Linked DNA regions of Tamandua tetradactyla. The protein of the gene in region 1 interacts with the protein of each later gene in a pairwise test. Links are inferred from orthologs where the notes say so. Each region holds a gene or a part of one and is shown on either strand. Other genes may lie near its edges.

The links.
Region 2: the proteins of FLII (region 1) and LRRFIP1 interact in binary tests that used the Homo sapiens proteins (3 or more experiments, as listed by UniProt). The link is inferred for Tamandua tetradactyla from reciprocal best matches to the Homo sapiens genes FLII and LRRFIP1.

What each region holds. Positions count from the first base shown.
Region 1 is NC_135332.1:1,890,376-1,897,703, forward strand, and holds the start of FLII (protein flightless-1 homolog), read right to left. Parts: upstream 3,226-7,328; 5' UTR 3,183-3,225; coding exon 3,120-3,182; intron 1,627-3,119; coding exon 1,516-1,626; intron 1,212-1,515; coding exon 1,140-1,211; intron 116-1,139; coding exon 35-115; intron 1-34. Other genes in the region: MIEF2 (mitochondrial dynamics protein MID49), read left to right, coding at 3,622-3,666, 5,946-6,098, 6,227-6,401, 6,895-7,328. UniProt on the Homo sapiens protein: Is a regulator of actin polymerization, required for proper myofibril organization and regulation of the length of sarcomeric thin filaments. It also plays a role in the assembly of cardiomyocyte cell adhesion complexes.
Region 2 is NC_135329.1:215,514,489-215,522,595, forward strand, and holds the start of LRRFIP1 (leucine-rich repeat flightless-interacting protein 1), read right to left. Parts: upstream 3,011-8,107; coding exon 2,915-3,010; intron 1-2,914.

The DNA.
Region 1 (7,328 bases):
GGGTGACCCACCAGGTGGGTGGACAACCACTGACCAGGACTGAGAGGTCATCCAGTTTGAAGATGTCATCAGGGACTCCGGAATTCTTCAGGCTGTTGGCTCGAGCCACGATGGCCTGGGGAAGAACCGTGAGGGCCTGTGAGTCTCAGCCTCCACCCCCAAGGCTGGAGAGGGACACTTCCTTCAGGAAGGCTGCCTGAGTGCTGTCACACCTCTGGACCTCTTCCGCCTGGCAGGCTCTTACTCATACCTCAAAGCCCAGCTCAAATGTACCTCACAGCCCAGCACAGGGCCCTCAGGGAACCTTTTCTAGATCTGAGTCAAGGTTTCTAGAATGGAGCGACCAAAGAGAAATCAGTGTGTGGACTGAGAGGAAGACAGCAGAGCTGCAGTCTGCTTTCTGACCCCCTGGGTGGAACTTCCACATACCGCAGACCTACAGGAAGTTCGTGGGGGTGGAGGAGGTTGTCCCATGATTGTAAGAAGCAGTGGTAAGAATGATAATAGCCACTAAGGCTTACTCAGTGCCATTCCACCCTACTTGCACTTGGGGCCCAGGAAGCTGAAGTGACTTGTCTAAGGTCATGCAGCCGGAAAATGGCAGAGTTCACATTTGAACTTGGGCAGCCTTGGCCCAGAGGCTGTGCCCTAAACCTCTCAGGTCACTGGCTGTGGACCTGATCCTCGTTGTCCAGGGGCTCCCCTCTGACCCTCCCACCCCAACTAAGCTCACCCTACCAGCCCCACCACTGCCAGGTGTGACCTGACCTCTGAGCTTAAGTTTCTCCCCTCCCAAAATAGGTGGAAACCAGGGTTAAATGATTTACTACTACTGCGTTGTTACAACCCAAAGTGGGTAATCAGGACTTCTTTTCTTCTTTTCCACTCTGGCCTTCTCCAACTCACACGCCTCACCTTACACAAGCATTATTATGTCTTCCCTTCTTTATGCCTCGGCCCCTGATTCTCATATGGGGGTAGACAGAAATGCTGGCCCGGCCGGGGATCTGGCCTTGCCCTTCCTCTCCGGGCAGGATACCAGCGCCTGCCCCTAGGCCCCTCCCATGTCTGGCACCCCTCCATGCTCGTCAATACCTCACCCCTGTGCCTGGAGGCCTCCCCCTCCCCCCAGCACTCACCCGAAGTGATGGCAGGCTGGACAGCTCTCCATGAAGTGTGGTCAGGTTGTTGTGGCTCACAGACAAGTGCTCCTGGGGCAGGAAGGGAGACGGGCTCAGCAGGCTGGATGGGGTCCACACATGTCCTGCCCACCACTGCAGCCTTGTACCCCATGGGGGGAGGGGCCTCGGCCACGCAGGCCCAGTCTATCTCTGCCTTCTCCTCACTCACAGGCCTGACCTCTTCTTGCACACCTCCCATGACAGGGTGCTTACTCCCTCTCAGCCACCTCTGACCACGACTGTCAGAGTGTTCCTCCTGTGCTGGCCACCCTTTCCACCCAGCCCAGGCTCATTCACAGGGACACCCTCCTGCTCCCCGCCTGAAGCCCCTTACCAGCTTCTGCAGAGCGGCCAGCTCCTCTGGGAGGTAGCAGAGACCCGTGCGGTTCAGCTTCAGCCATCGCAAGCTGGTCATGGACTTGACATTCTCAGGGAAGTAGCCACCCTGTGTAGCCACGGAGTGCCATGGTAGGCATGTCTGGAGAAGGGAGGCACCCCCTCCCGGTACCCCCACTCCACCACCCACCCATCTGGGTGACCCTGGACGAGTCACTTCATCAATTTCCTTACCCATGACATGGGGCTAATAAAAGCCCTCACATGACAAGTGTTGTGAGGATGGACTAACTGTAGGTGTGGTTGGTGGCCTGAGATCTATTTGTCCCACTGGACTCTGAGCCCGGGGAGGACCCGGACAGGACAGTACCTGGCTGAGGTACGTTCCAGATTTGCACTTTGTCTCGCAGCACAGCCCACCCCCTCACACCCCCACCAGGTCCTGACCCCACTGTGCTGAGGCCTCGGCTTGCCACCCCCATGGACTCCCAGTATTCGAATGCCCCAGGTGCACATGGGCAGATGGGGGCTGGGGGGTTCGGGTCTGCAGTGACAGCCCCTCCCTGCTTGGGGGAGGAGGTCTGGGACAAAGAGTGCTCTCCGTGCCCCTGGCTGGTGTCCCCTTTCCCCTATGGCCATCTTCCCAGTCTGTAATGCAGCCTCTCCTAGTGCAGAGAGGACACCTGGAGACCCCGTGGGGATGGGGGACAGGGTGACATGCAGTCAGCCCACGCCTGGGCATGGGAGTCAAAGGTGTGGTGGTTTGCTGGGAGATGCAGGAGGAGCGAGCCCCAGGCTGACGCCCAACCCCAGGCAGAGCGGGGGAGGGGTGGGGGGCCCTCAGACCCCCACCTAACAGCCCCAGGCCCATACCTGCCCCGCACACTGCAGCCACACATCCCCCCACCAGGCCAGCTCTCAGCTGCGGCCCTTCTCTGGAGTCACAGCCCAGCCCACCCCATTCCCGATTCTCTCCAGGACAACCTCCTCTTGCCCTCCAACTGGGCAGCGCCAGGTAGGGGGCAGGGGTGGGGAGGGGGCCGGTAAGAGAGGCAGACCCACACCACCGGGGCTCACACCGGCCTGCACACCCTCCAAGCAACTTATCACGCCCTCCGGACACTCCCAGGAAGGGCTGCAGGGAGACCCTCCTCCCGGAGAGCAAGCCCGGGTCTCCGAGGAGGAAGTGTCTGGCCCAACACCGCACAGGATGTGGCCAGGGGTGGCGGCGGGGCGGGGCAGCGCGGGCGTGAGTCAGGGCCTGGCTGGGCGGTGCGGCCTCCGAGGGGCACGACTGGGGCTGGGGCGGCGTGAACAGGGGCCCGCCGGCCGGCCCAGGGTCGCCCCCGCCGAGAGGCCCCTCTTCTCGCAGCCCGGCCTGAGAGCCGTCCTCCCGCCCGGGCAGCGCGCCGGGCCTCGGGGCCGCGGACTCCGGCTCGGGGCAGGGCGCGGGGACGGTCCCGGAGCGCCCGGAGGGCCACACCCCGGCCCGGCCGGCGATCGCGGCCGCGCGCAGGGCCCCGCGGGCGGCCGAGGAGCGGGGGGCGGCTGGGCCCGCGGCGGAGGAGGCGCAGCGCCCGCGAGCAGGCCCGGCCGGCTCACCTTGAAGTCGTTGCCGCTGAGGTCCACGCCGCGCACGAACGGCAGCACCCCGGTGGCCTCCATGGCGCCGCTGTCGCCGGCGGCCGGGCAGGGCGCGCAGGGCGGATCCGGGAGGCGGCCGCGGGCTGGGCCTCCGCCGCCGGCTCCGCCCCTTTAACCCGCCCGCGCCCGCCGCACCCGCGCCCCGGACCGCCCTGCCGCGGGAACGCGCCTGCCCGCGGGGATCGCCGGGTCTCGGGGCGGGGAGGGCCTTGGCTTCGGCTCCTCTGACGGCGGCAGGGTTCAGCGTCGGCTCCGAGAACCCCGCGGCGGGACCCGGGGATGTTGCTGCAGTCGTCCGACTGGGTTTGAGGGGTTCGGGGGCCCGTTCCCGAGGCGCCCCTGCCTGCCCCAGGGCTTGGCCCGGGCCACCCTATACCTGCGGCCGCATCTGTGAAACGCTTCCTAAGGCCAGACGCACCCCCACCTCCACGTGGAACTCCCAGCATACAGCAGGCGCCCAATGGTGCACGTGTTTGCTATCCCTGCTGGGCATGAGCTCCCCCAGGTGTGTTCCCGCGATCTCCCGCCTCGTGGCCCCCCGAATGCAGCTCCCACAGGGGCGGGGTCCGGGCGCAGTCCAGCGACCCCAGAGCAGGCCGGGCATTTCCCAGCTGCTGCTGTTTTCAGCCACGCCGTGCGGGGCCCTGCTTTACAGAAGGGAAAACTGAGGCCTGTGGAGCATGGACACACCCCCTCACCCCAGGTCACCAGGTGGGCCAGCAGGTAATCCTGAAATGCCCTCAGGTTTCTGGCAGGTGACCTCAGGGCGCCCGGCAAGTGGTCCCGGGAGAAACGTGGGCCCAGAGAGCTTTCTTCACCCCCAGGCTCACTATCCCAGGGCACCCAAGTCACAACGGGCCCTGGGGGCCGCTCATTCCACGCGCCGGGACAGGCCTCCCAGCCTCCACTTCCCAGCCCGCCGCGGGCTCGAAATGGAGTCCTCGGCCTTTAAGTCGAGAGGAAGTCGCGCCGGGCGGGGGGCGTGGCCAGGTGCCCATTGGCTGAGCTGCGCAGTATTTTGGCACGTGGGCGGGGCGCTGTGCGCTCTCGTTGGAGCTCGGCTTCCTCGTCTGCGTGCCTCTGGGGGTCACCGCCCGCCTCCTCCGACCCCGGCCCCGGCGCGCGCCTCCCGGCTCTGCCGCGTTCCATTCCCAGGTGGGCCGGGCGGGGCCCGCTTCGCGCTGGGGCCCGTTCGCGGGGCCGCGACCTGGGTACGGCGGGGCGGGGGCAGCGCCTCGGGGCCCGCCGCCCGCGCTCGAATCCCGTGTTGGGCAAGCCCCTCGGTCTCCGGGACGCGGGTTCCTCGCGTGGGGGCGGGCCGGGCGGAGGAGGGAGGGGTCACGCCTGCCCCCCGCGCCGGCTCCTGGGGCTGGGGCCCGGGCCGGGGCCGGGGCCTGCTCGGCCGCCGGCGCTGGGCGGGCGCCTGCGTAGCCAGGAGGGAGGTGTTCAAATCGGTGTACAGTTCGCGAAGTGGAGGCGGGTGAACCCCCGGTGGACAAACCGGCCGCCCGGCGGACTGGTCAGCCGGCTGGCCGGTGTCCTCGCGCGGCCCCTGAGACCTCTTGTTCTATTTTTAGCCTGGGCGGGTGGGTAGGTGCTTGGGAATGAGTCACTCCCTGGCCCGGGCTTCGGCGGGCACCTGGCAGGCCGGGAGGGCTGCGTCCCCAGGGCCCCAGCCGGCCGTGACTTCATGACGCGGGCTTCGGCCTCCCGGACTGGACAGTCCTGCCTGGTGTGTGTTTGTCCCTCCTGCAGGCCCGGGGCCCCACGCTGGCCCTGTAGCCGCCCCTCTCCCTCAGCAGGTGGGCTTGGTGGGCAGAGCCTGAGGCCGGGTCTCCCTTAGAATGTGGGGCTGGGTCAGGGCCCTGCCTCTTCTCACCTGCCTGAGCCTGCCCAGAAGACACCTGCGGACTCCCTCCTTCTGATCCTTTCTGTCCACCACCTTTGGCTGTTTTGCAGGGGAGGAAGTGGGTGGCGCTGCTGACCCTGACCTTAACTTCTGGGGTGCGTGGCCTCCTAGCAGCTGATGACAGCTGTCCCTCTGTCCCCAAGCCACTGGGCAGTCTCACGTCTGAGCTCTAAAAAGCTTCCTTGCTCACTGCCCCTGCACGTAGCAGGACTTGCGCGTGCCCTCTGCTGCCTGGAGCCAAGGCCGGCCCCCTCTGCCTGTCCTGGGGGTGCCCTGTCAGCATTCAGGGCTGGGAGTGTGGCCCCTGAGTCTTGCTGAGGTCCCCTTAACTCCTCCCCACCTGTCTACACTGGGAGTCTACCCAGCCCTGGTTGGAAACCAGAGCTCTAGGGCTGCGGCAGGCTCTGAGCTGGGCTCGTGGGTCAGAGAGGACCAAGTAGACTCAGGGGCCAGCAGGAAACACTGGGGTGCCACACGCTGTATGTTTGCGGGTTTGTGCCCCCACTGCTCACTGTGTGATCAGGGAAAAGCTGGTGGTGACTCCGACTCACTCCTCTGGGGAGGAGCCAGTCTGCATGAATCCCCCTTTTCCTGCAGGCAGTGGTGTGCAGGTTTGGGGGAGCAGGGCCTTGGGCAGCACCCTGATCTCCCAAGAAACCATACACGTAGCCCTTTTCTCCTGGGAAGCTGTCATGGGCTTGACTAAGTGCCCCAGCAGGATGGCTGCAGGAGCCCTCTGCCCATCCCTGCCTGCCCTGGGCCACCCCCTGGCAGTCCTAGCTTCTCCACTGGGGCTGCCCACATGCACGCATGCACACATACACAGATGTGCACACACATGTGCATGCACACACGCACACCTGGTTCTCTCCCAGCAGACCATGGCTGAATTCTCCCAGAAGCGGGGGAAGCGGCCCGACGGTGACATCTTCGGCACTGCTGTGGACTTCCTCCTGGCCAATGCCCGCCTGGTGCTGGGCATGGGTGGGGCTGCAGTACTGGGCATCGCCACCCTGGCTGTAAAGCGGGTAAGGCTGTACTGGGTAGGTCCCAGCAGGGGGCCGGTGGGGTGCATTTCAGTCCCCCAGTAGCTCGGTGTGTCCCACCTGGAGCTGTGCCTGGACCCCGGCGACCCGACCTGTGTCTCTGCCTCCAGCTCATTGACAGGGCCACCAGCCCACGGGATGAGGATGACGCCAAGTTGGAACCCACTTGCCTGGAGGATAGCTGGAAGGAGCTGAACCTGCTCAGGGCCACGCCGCGCCTGCACCCCCAGCTGCCTCCTGTCCCCCTCAGCCGGCCCCTCCTGTCCCCAGCCCCTGCTGCTGCAGGTGAGCCACAGCCCTTCTCCCAGGATGCAGGGGTTCCCTTTGGGGTTCTCCTGGAGTCAGTCCAGGCTCTGCTGCTGGTGGTGTGACCCGGGCAGGTTCCAGGCACTCGGGGTGGGTGGTGCTCTCCCCGAATGGTTAGTGAACAGTGGGATTCACTGTCCTCCCACCAACCATGACGTGTCTGTGTTGGGTGGGGTGTGGCGAGGCAGCAGAGTGCTCATGGCAGGGACGTGGGAATTGGGGGTGGGAGCTTCCAGTGCGGAACACCAGGCCCAAAGGGGCGCCTGTCCAGAGCGGTGGGGGCAGCGTTCCCCAGTTCCGTGTAGTAACTGCAGGGTGAGGGTGTGGGGGTCACCAGGCAGCCGTGGTTTGGGAGAACTGGGGCCACGGGCTCCCTGGGCTGGGCCTGCCGTGGGCCTATCTGCTGTCATGCCACTGGGAGTCGGGCAGAGTACTGCAGCTCGTGCGTTCTCACCTTCTCCCGACCTCGCAGAGGCGCCCAGTGACACCCATCCTGCAGACACTGGTGCTCGCCCGACCCCGTGGCTCGGCAGCCCTGTTCCGCTGTGCCTAACCTTCCAGGAGAAGCTGCTGGCCTTCGAGCGGGACCATGTGGCCGTCCCCGCTGCCACCGAGGCGTTAGCCAAACAGTTGGCCAGAGACATTGGCTTGGAGCTGCAGACCTACCTGCGGGCTAAGTTCCCAATGCTACCCTTCGGGGCCCTGGAGCCGGGCGGGCCGCTCTATGACGGGCTGCAGGTGGGGGTGGCTGACCCCGTGCGCCTCCTGGCCCCCCTGGTGCTGGAGCCAGGCCTGTGGGGCCTGGTACCGGGTACGGACACCGTGGCCGGAGACCCCCGCTGCTGGGCCGTGCGCAGGACACAGCTGGAGTTTCGCCCCCGTGGGAGCAGCCCCTGGGACCGCTTC
Region 2 (8,107 bases), on another chromosome or scaffold:
GTGGGAGGTCACAGGTGCCCCTGCCCGGGAAGGTGGCTTCTGTGTGGCCGCAGCGCCTCAAAGGAAGGGGTGGCTGGGAGCCCTGGGCGGGGTGAGCGCCTTGGGGCGCCGTCTTGGAGAAGAGGGGTGCCCCAAGCATGTCGGGGCCCCGCCGAGTGCCAAACTCACGGCAACTTCCCAAGGTCTGCAGACTGCTCCCCAGGAGCTTTCACAGCACCTTTCTCATTCAGGAATGATGTCTGCATCGGAGAGAAATACTGAGAGCTGCTCCAGGCATCGGGAGAGCAATTTCGTTTTCCTCCGGGGAAGGAGGCTAAATAGAAATCTGGGTTGCCACCAAAAATTGCCAGCAGGAAGTTAAACGTGATGGGAAAAAAAACAGCTGCTTTGAGAACCCCTCTGCCCAGGATATGCCAGGCGCAGTCCGGGTCCGTGGGACAGCAGCCCCCTCTGCTTCCCAAAGCCACCCTGACAGGGCGGACCCCCAGCCTGCTCACGCCCAGACCAATGGCACCGAGAAATAACACCCGGTTCTCAGGGAAGTCACCCACGGCAGAGACCACAGCGTAACTCCAGGAGGTAAAGGCGACACTTCAGACGCTCCCCCTTCACTGCTTCCTACCAGGAAGGTCCAACCCCTCAGCAGAGAGCGCTGAGCTCGCCACGAGGGCCCCCCAACCTGTCCATTCCCCATGAGGACCCCCCAACCTTCCAGTCCCCATGAGGACCCCACAATCTGTCCAGTCCCCATGAGGCCTCCCAGCGGCAGCCGTGTCCCGCACTCCCCCTCACTGGGGGATGGAGCCTTCCCTGAGACTCTGACGTCCTGCTGACCCCGCTCACCTTCCAGATTGCACATTCCTCAATGCCTGTCAGGACTGCCCGGCACCTCCTCCTCCTCCCTAAGGGGTCCTGTTTCCACGCAGGACCCCACGCTTTCCACGGGCTCCAGGAATGGGCCTGATGGGCTACTGCATCCAGCCATACCCCTTGCCCAGGGCCCAGTGGGGCCTCAAGTCAACTGCCCGCCACTGAGCCTGGCTCAAGAATGGGCAGGAGGCCCGCAGACAGCCAGGGTGTGGGCAGGAGGGAGGCCTGGGGGTGCCGCCACGCAGGCCGGTGTGGCACAAGCCAGTGCAAGGACAGCCACCTGTAGGGGGACCTTGCAGGGGTGCCGGGAGAAAAGGAGCCAGAGCTGCCACGTGACTGTCCCCGTCACTGGCATCAAAGCATCCTGATACATCCTTCAAACAGCTCAAAATGCCACTTCCTCCAGGAAGCCGCCTCTGATCACCACTCCTGGTCCCAAAAGCAAGATGAAATGCACTCATTTCCGAATCTCACAGCAGTGCATTCTGGTCCTTTTCAAACCAGATCCTTTCTAGTTTTCTGTTGTTATTTATCTATCGGCCATTACTCCCTCCCAGCACAGCTCCTCGAGGCCAGGTCCATGTGGGATTCAGTCCTGACCCCCCAGTCTCCCTATGACAGTGATTTAAACATCGTGCTATGAGTGAGTAAAGAAGCATTAAATTTATCTAGGAAAACCTTGTTAATTTGTATAAGAACTCTCAGGAACTCGAGGACGACTAGATACTGGCCAGGTGATTCTAAATACCACAGCTGGGATACAGAAATCAATTTGCAGCAGAACACAAAATGTTGCACCAGCTACCTCCAACCTTATAAATAAATCACTAGGAGCCCACGGCTGATTCCTATCTGAGGGTGTGTGCAGGAGATCACAGAGTGACCCAGCACCTAATTATGCACTTTCCAGACGCAACTTGCCTTCCATTTTGACAGCCACGGGGGGTTCTTTTTCCTTCTCAGAGAACAGGAAAACACAAGTTCAGAGGAGGTCCTTCCTGAGACCCACACGGCTGGTGGGGATCTGTGCAGTTTCAAAACCCAGGTCAGGTCGGACTCCAAAGTCTACTCTATCTCGCCAAACCCTGTGTCCCTAGGTGGGAGGTAAGACAGTGAGTTCCCGGTCAGGCAGGACCACAAGTGCCCATCAAGCCAGGGTGAATTCCCGGGCCTTTAGTTTCAATCTATTTTTATCAAAACCAGCCGATAAGAAGGGGGAGCCTGGGAACTCTCATTCTTCTCATTCCTCTCCCTTAAACACTGACCTGGAGAACACAGCCCAGTGGTCATTCGAACTACCCCCGGCCGGGGTCCCCCAGAAACACTCGTGTGCTCTTACCGCCTTACTCATAAACGATGTCTTCACAGGAGCGCATGATATTTAAGGTGCTGCATTCAGCAAATATTTATATTTAGCTTTGTACTTTTTTTGCTTATTAATACAACAGATATCTACAGACATGTACTATGAGCTGGGCTGTTTCTTACATAGTTTACCCTTAACGTTGAACCCACGGGGACGAGAAAGCGACTCCTGCAGACCTGTGACCACCATGCCCGGCTAAGTGGTCCTGACCAAGTTCATGGCCGAATGTGATCTCTCAGCCCAAGAACCTGACGACGGCCTCTGGTGCGCCCGACCCGCTCGCAAGCTCAGGGCAGAAACAGGCTCCACAGTGACCCCCAAGTGCACCCCAGGCGGCACCCAGCCTCCCGGCGACGACAGACGCCAGACAGCGCCTTGGGCAGGACCATGCGGGCCTCGGGCCTCGGGAGACCGGCCCCCATCCCTGCTTAGGCCCCCGGCCGCCCCCCCTGCGGTTCCACACAGCGGCGCGCTCGTCCCCACCCGGCCGAGCCCGGGCCGCCCTGCCCGCCCGCAGCGTTCCCAACCCGGCTGCCCCGGGGCCGGGCTCCGAGCCGGGGGCCGCGTGGCCGGCCTGTTCCCCGCGGCCGCCGAGGTCGTGACCCGGGCTCCGCGTGCGGGGCCGCCCAGCCGAGGGACGCCCCCGCCCCCGCCCCCGCCCAAGGGCCCGGAACTCACCTCGCGCGCGACCCGGCTCAGCGCGTCGTCCTCCGCCGTCAGCCGCTCGCGCGTGGGGGGCCGCCTGCGCCCCGAGCCCTGCGTGCCCATGTCCATCGGCCGCGCCGCCGCCTCCCGCGCCCCGCGCCCCGCGCCCCGCGCGCCGGCCCCTCCGGCCTCGCCCGCGCCCCTCCCTCCGCCGCGGCGTCATGGCGTCAGCGGGCGCGGGGACGAGCGGGCCGGGCGCGGGGGCGCGGGGACGGGGACGGGGACGCGGGGAGGCCGGGGAACCTAACGGATCCGGGGACGCAGTGGGACCTAGGGCGTCCTTGTGCTAGCGGTCGGGCGCGAGGGCGGGGACGGGGACGACCGGGAGAGCTGGGCGCTGGGCGCGAGCGGCCGGGCGCGAGGGCCGCGGAGGACAAGGGGTCGCGGGGGTCAGGAGGCTCAGGACCCGGGAGATGTCGAGGCGCCCGGGAGAACCGCGGGGTAGGGGACGAACAGGCTGGGCTCGGCGACAGCGAGGGACGGGCCGGGAGGACGGCGGCGGGGACAGCGGGGATCAGGGTCGGCGGGGAACGCCGAGGGAGCAGAGGGGCCGGGGTAGGGGTCCTGGAGATCGGTGGCGGCCCCCGGAGAATCTCAGGCCGGCGGGGGAAGGCGCAGCGACTGGCGCCAGGGCCGTGGGCGTCGGTGCAGCTGCGACCTCCGCGGGGCGCGGGAAGGCTCTCAGGCCGGGGGTTGCACGGAGGGGTTGTGCGGAGGGGCGGCGCAGGGCCGGTGAGTTCCGCGCCACGGGAGGGAACCCGGCTCTGCGGTCAGGCCCAGGTGCGGTCCGATGGCGCCGCTGCGGGGCTGCGGGACCGTGGCCAGCCTCCTCCGGGGCCTGCTTATCCCTGTGCAGAAGGATCGCGGCGCCCCTCCCCAGGGTCTGCACCCCCGAAAGCAGGGTCCTGTCCCTGCACTCTTAGGAATGGGCCTGTCACACAGCTGCTGGCAGTGAATACTTGTTGAAAAAGCTCTCTGAAGCTTCTGTTCTTCATCCCCACAGGTGGACTTAAAAATAAATTGGAGAATTAGGTAAGGCGTACAAAGCCCTTGCCTTCTTGTCCAGTGTAATAGGTAGAAGTCGAGTACTTGGCCCTCAGGATGGGATGGGAAGAAAGGACCCTACACAAGCTCAGTCGGCATCGGTTCCCATGTGTTCCGGGTGTGGGGGGAGCTCTAAGGCCGCTGGACTTTGGGAGGAATGGAGGGAGGGGAGGGTGGAGAGGAGGGGGAGTAGGGAGTCACCTGTAACTCCCCCCCCCCTCCCGCCCAGAGGAAAGGACAGTTAATGTTTTTGGAGTATTTCCAACCAAGTGATGGGACCAGGTTGGCTTGGGTGGTTGTGAAGGTAACCTGGCAGCTGGGTGAAGGAGGGACCACAGGGGGCCCTGCAGTAGCAGGGAGCTCACGACACCTGAGGGACTCCTGGGGTGGGGTGGGGGGACTGGCAGGGCACACAGTGCTTGGGGCCCTAAGCTTGTCAGTCCTGTCTTCTCAGAGCGTGGCAGTACACCTGGTACCTCGGAGGCCCTGAGAGATAGCTGTTGTTTGGATCTATGCCCCCTTCACCCAGCATAGGGTCCGGTAATCCTCTGGTCACATAATCCGTACTGGAAGAAACCTTGAGGGGTCATCCCTTCCCCTGTCCCCAGCCCTGCTCACCATTCCCACACTCAAGGTGCAGCTGCGATGATTCTGTGGCTTTGCTCAGGCTGGCTCCCCTGGGCTCCTGGCACCAAATGGGCCATGACATCGTGAGTTCTTTGTCTATGGGCCATGTACATCTCCCTGCTCTGATGTGATCTCAGACCAGGCTAGTTCTCGCCTTTCAGTGAAAATCCTGACATCTGCCTTGTCAAGATTGAGCAGCCCAGGCAAGGAACCTGTTGCAGGGCTCAGCCCACAGTCGGTCCCCTGGTTCCGGCCTGCAAAGGCTTCAGTCTGGAATGTATGGAGGAGGGAGGCAGCAGCTCCTGCTAGGGCACTGGGAGAGGTGGGCAAGGGGCATTAAGCAGCTTTGTGGGCCCCCAGTGCTTGGGATGCTCTGGAGGGAGATAGAGACCATTGAGACACCACCCAGCAGGCCAAGCCTTGGGCTCACAGGGAAGCTTTGCTGTCTCTCCTCCTTGGGCCCTCAGCCTCTAAAGCTCGGAAGTCCATGAGTCTGCACTGACCTAGAAGACTATACCCCCACGTAACTGAGCTACCAGCACTGCCTCAACCCCTTCCATGGAGCTCTTCTCCTATTCCACCCCTTACCAAATCCCAAACAATTATACTACCTACATGAGGGATTTCAGCCCAGGTGACAGAGAAAACACATCACAGCTGTCATGGCCCAGGATCGGAGAATCCATATGCTCATCTCCAAGCTTGGTACCAAGCCCTGTCACAGAAATACAGGGGCTAATTTGAGGAAGGAGTTCACCAGAAAGTGGAGGTAGCCAAGGCAGCCTTGGTAAGGGGGCACCTCACACCCCAGTGGTACCCACATGGAGTCTCCGCCCTGAAACAATGGTCCCTTTGTTGAGGAGCTCATTCCTCCTGGCTGGCTGGGGAGAGCAGTCACCGTACATCACAGAGGGGTCATTTAGTCTGCCCGCTGGGCAGAGGGTACGCCAAAGGTCATTCAAGTGGGTCCCCTGAGGAAGCCATCATGTGGCCCCAACCCAAACCTAGTTCACTGGTGCTCCAGCCTTGCTTTCCCCAGTCCCTGTTATCCAGCTAGCACAGGCTTTGGAATCATCTTGGATCCATCTTGCTCCGTTCTACCCTAAATCCGATCACATGCCAAATTTTCCCTTTTCCTTCATTTCTGCCCCCATTCTGCATTTTTGTGATACCACCATTGAACTGAGCAATCAGACCTCAGGGTTTGGGGCTATCAGTAAAGCTGGAAATCAGTGGGGAAAATCCCAGAAGAGGAGGACCCATAGCGGTTGAACTGTATGCTGACTTATCTTGAAACCATGGCAGCGTCCTGAGCCTCAGCTATGGGGGGGGGGGGGGGGGGGGCAAGACTCCAAGCAACTCAGAAAGAAGCAGCAGCTGGAATCCCTGAAAAAAGTTGAGAAGAAATTTCTGCAGCTTCCCAGTGCTGGGAAGAAGTTAGGAGTTTCAAGTGCTTCCAAATTAGAGGGACTTGGTAAACACCTTGCATTTTTCACTGAAACCCCAGAAGGGCTATGCCTTAGTAGTAAGACCACTTTCCAGGATATCAGGGTAAGACCTCGGAATAACAGAAAAAAACAGAATAGATGCACCGTAACAAAGTCCATAATCAAGTTTCAACATGATCAAGGTGATATGTAAGGTCAAGGTCATTTGACTACCTGCTAGAACCAAATTTAATACACTTCAAAAGAAAATAACAGAATCCTGAGTCTCTGCAAGATATTGCACACTATGTCCAATATACAATCCTTTTCTGTATATATATGTTATATTTTACAATTGAAAAAATGTTAAAAGAAAACCTCCATTATGAAAATGCAAACACAAGACACAAACTGGGAGGAAATATCCATAATGCATAGATGTGACAAAGCACTTGTATCCGGAATATATAAAGAGCTCCCAAAAAGCAATAAAAAAAAAAAACAGACTACTTAAGTAATGAGCAAAAACTTAAAAACTTAAACATACTCTTCATATAAGAAGATAGACAAAAATGTCCAAAAAGCACATGAAAAAGTGCTCAACATTTTTATCATCAGGATATGCAAAATAAAACCACACCTCTCTCTCTAGCCAACACAATGAGCAGTCTCAACACCCTCCCCCTCTCTACGTGGGACATGACTCCCAGGGGTGTGGACCTTCCTGGCAACGTGAGACAGAGATCCTGGAATGAGCTGAGACTCAGCATCAAGGAATTGAGAAAAACCCTAGAATGAGCTGAGACTTAACATCAAGGGATTGAGAAAACCTTCTGGACCAAAAGGGAAGAGAGTGAAATGAGACAAAGTGTCAATGGCTGAGAGATTCCAAACAGAGGCGAGAGGTTGTCCTGGAGGTTATTCTTATGCAATAAGTAGATATCATCTTGTTATTCAAAACGTAGTGGAGAGGCTGGAGGAAACTGCCTGAAAATGTAGAGCTGTGTTCCAGTAGCCATGTTTCTTGAGGATGATTGAATAATGATACAGCTGTCACAATGTGACTGTGTGATTGTGAAAACCTTGTGTCTGATGCTCCTTTTATCTACCTTGTCAACAAAGGAGTAGAACATATGGAATAAAAATAAATAATAGGGGGAACAAATGCTAAAATAAATTTAGTTTGAAATGCTAGTGATCAATGAAAGCAAGGGGGAAGGGGTATGGTAGGTATAATCTTTTTTTTTCTTTCTTTCTGTTTGTTTTATTTCTTTTTCTATTGTCCTTTTATTTCTTTTTCTGAATTAATGCAAATGTTCTAAGAAATGATGAATATGCAACTAAGTGATGATATTGTGAATTACTGATTATGTATGTTGATGTTTTATTTTGTTTCTTAATTTTTTAATTAATAAATATATTTTAAAAAATAAAATAAAATAAAACCACAGTAAGATGTCACTTCACACCCATTAGAAAGTCTAAAATTAAAAAGACTGGCAGACCCACATGTTGGTTAGGCTGACATTCTCACCAAGTGGAATTCTCATACATCGCTGGTGGGAGTTTAAAACTGTGCAGCTGGTTTGGAACACTGTCTGGGAGTTTCTTATAAACATGCATCTAATGTATGCTCCAGGCATTCCACTCTGGTATTTGCCAAGAGAAATGAAAACATGTCCTTAAAAAGAGATGCACAGGGCAGTGCAATGGTGGCTCAGTGACAGAATTCTCGCCTGCCATGCCCAAGACCTGGATGCATTTCCCGGTGCCTGCCCCCACGCCCCCAAAAAAGAGATCACAGAAAAAAGAGATGGACAAGAATGCTTGTGACAGTTTGATTCATAAAAGCCAAAAGCACCAAACAACCCAGATGTTCACCAGCAGGTGAAGGAATAAACAAATTGTAGTTACAGAGACACCACTCAGCAGTAAAAATGAACAAGCCCTAATGTCGGCAACAGTCCAAATCTCAAAAACATAATGTTGAATGAAATATCAGACACAAAATCATCCATGTTATGTAATTTTATATTATATAATTCCATTTATATGAAATTTTTTTTTT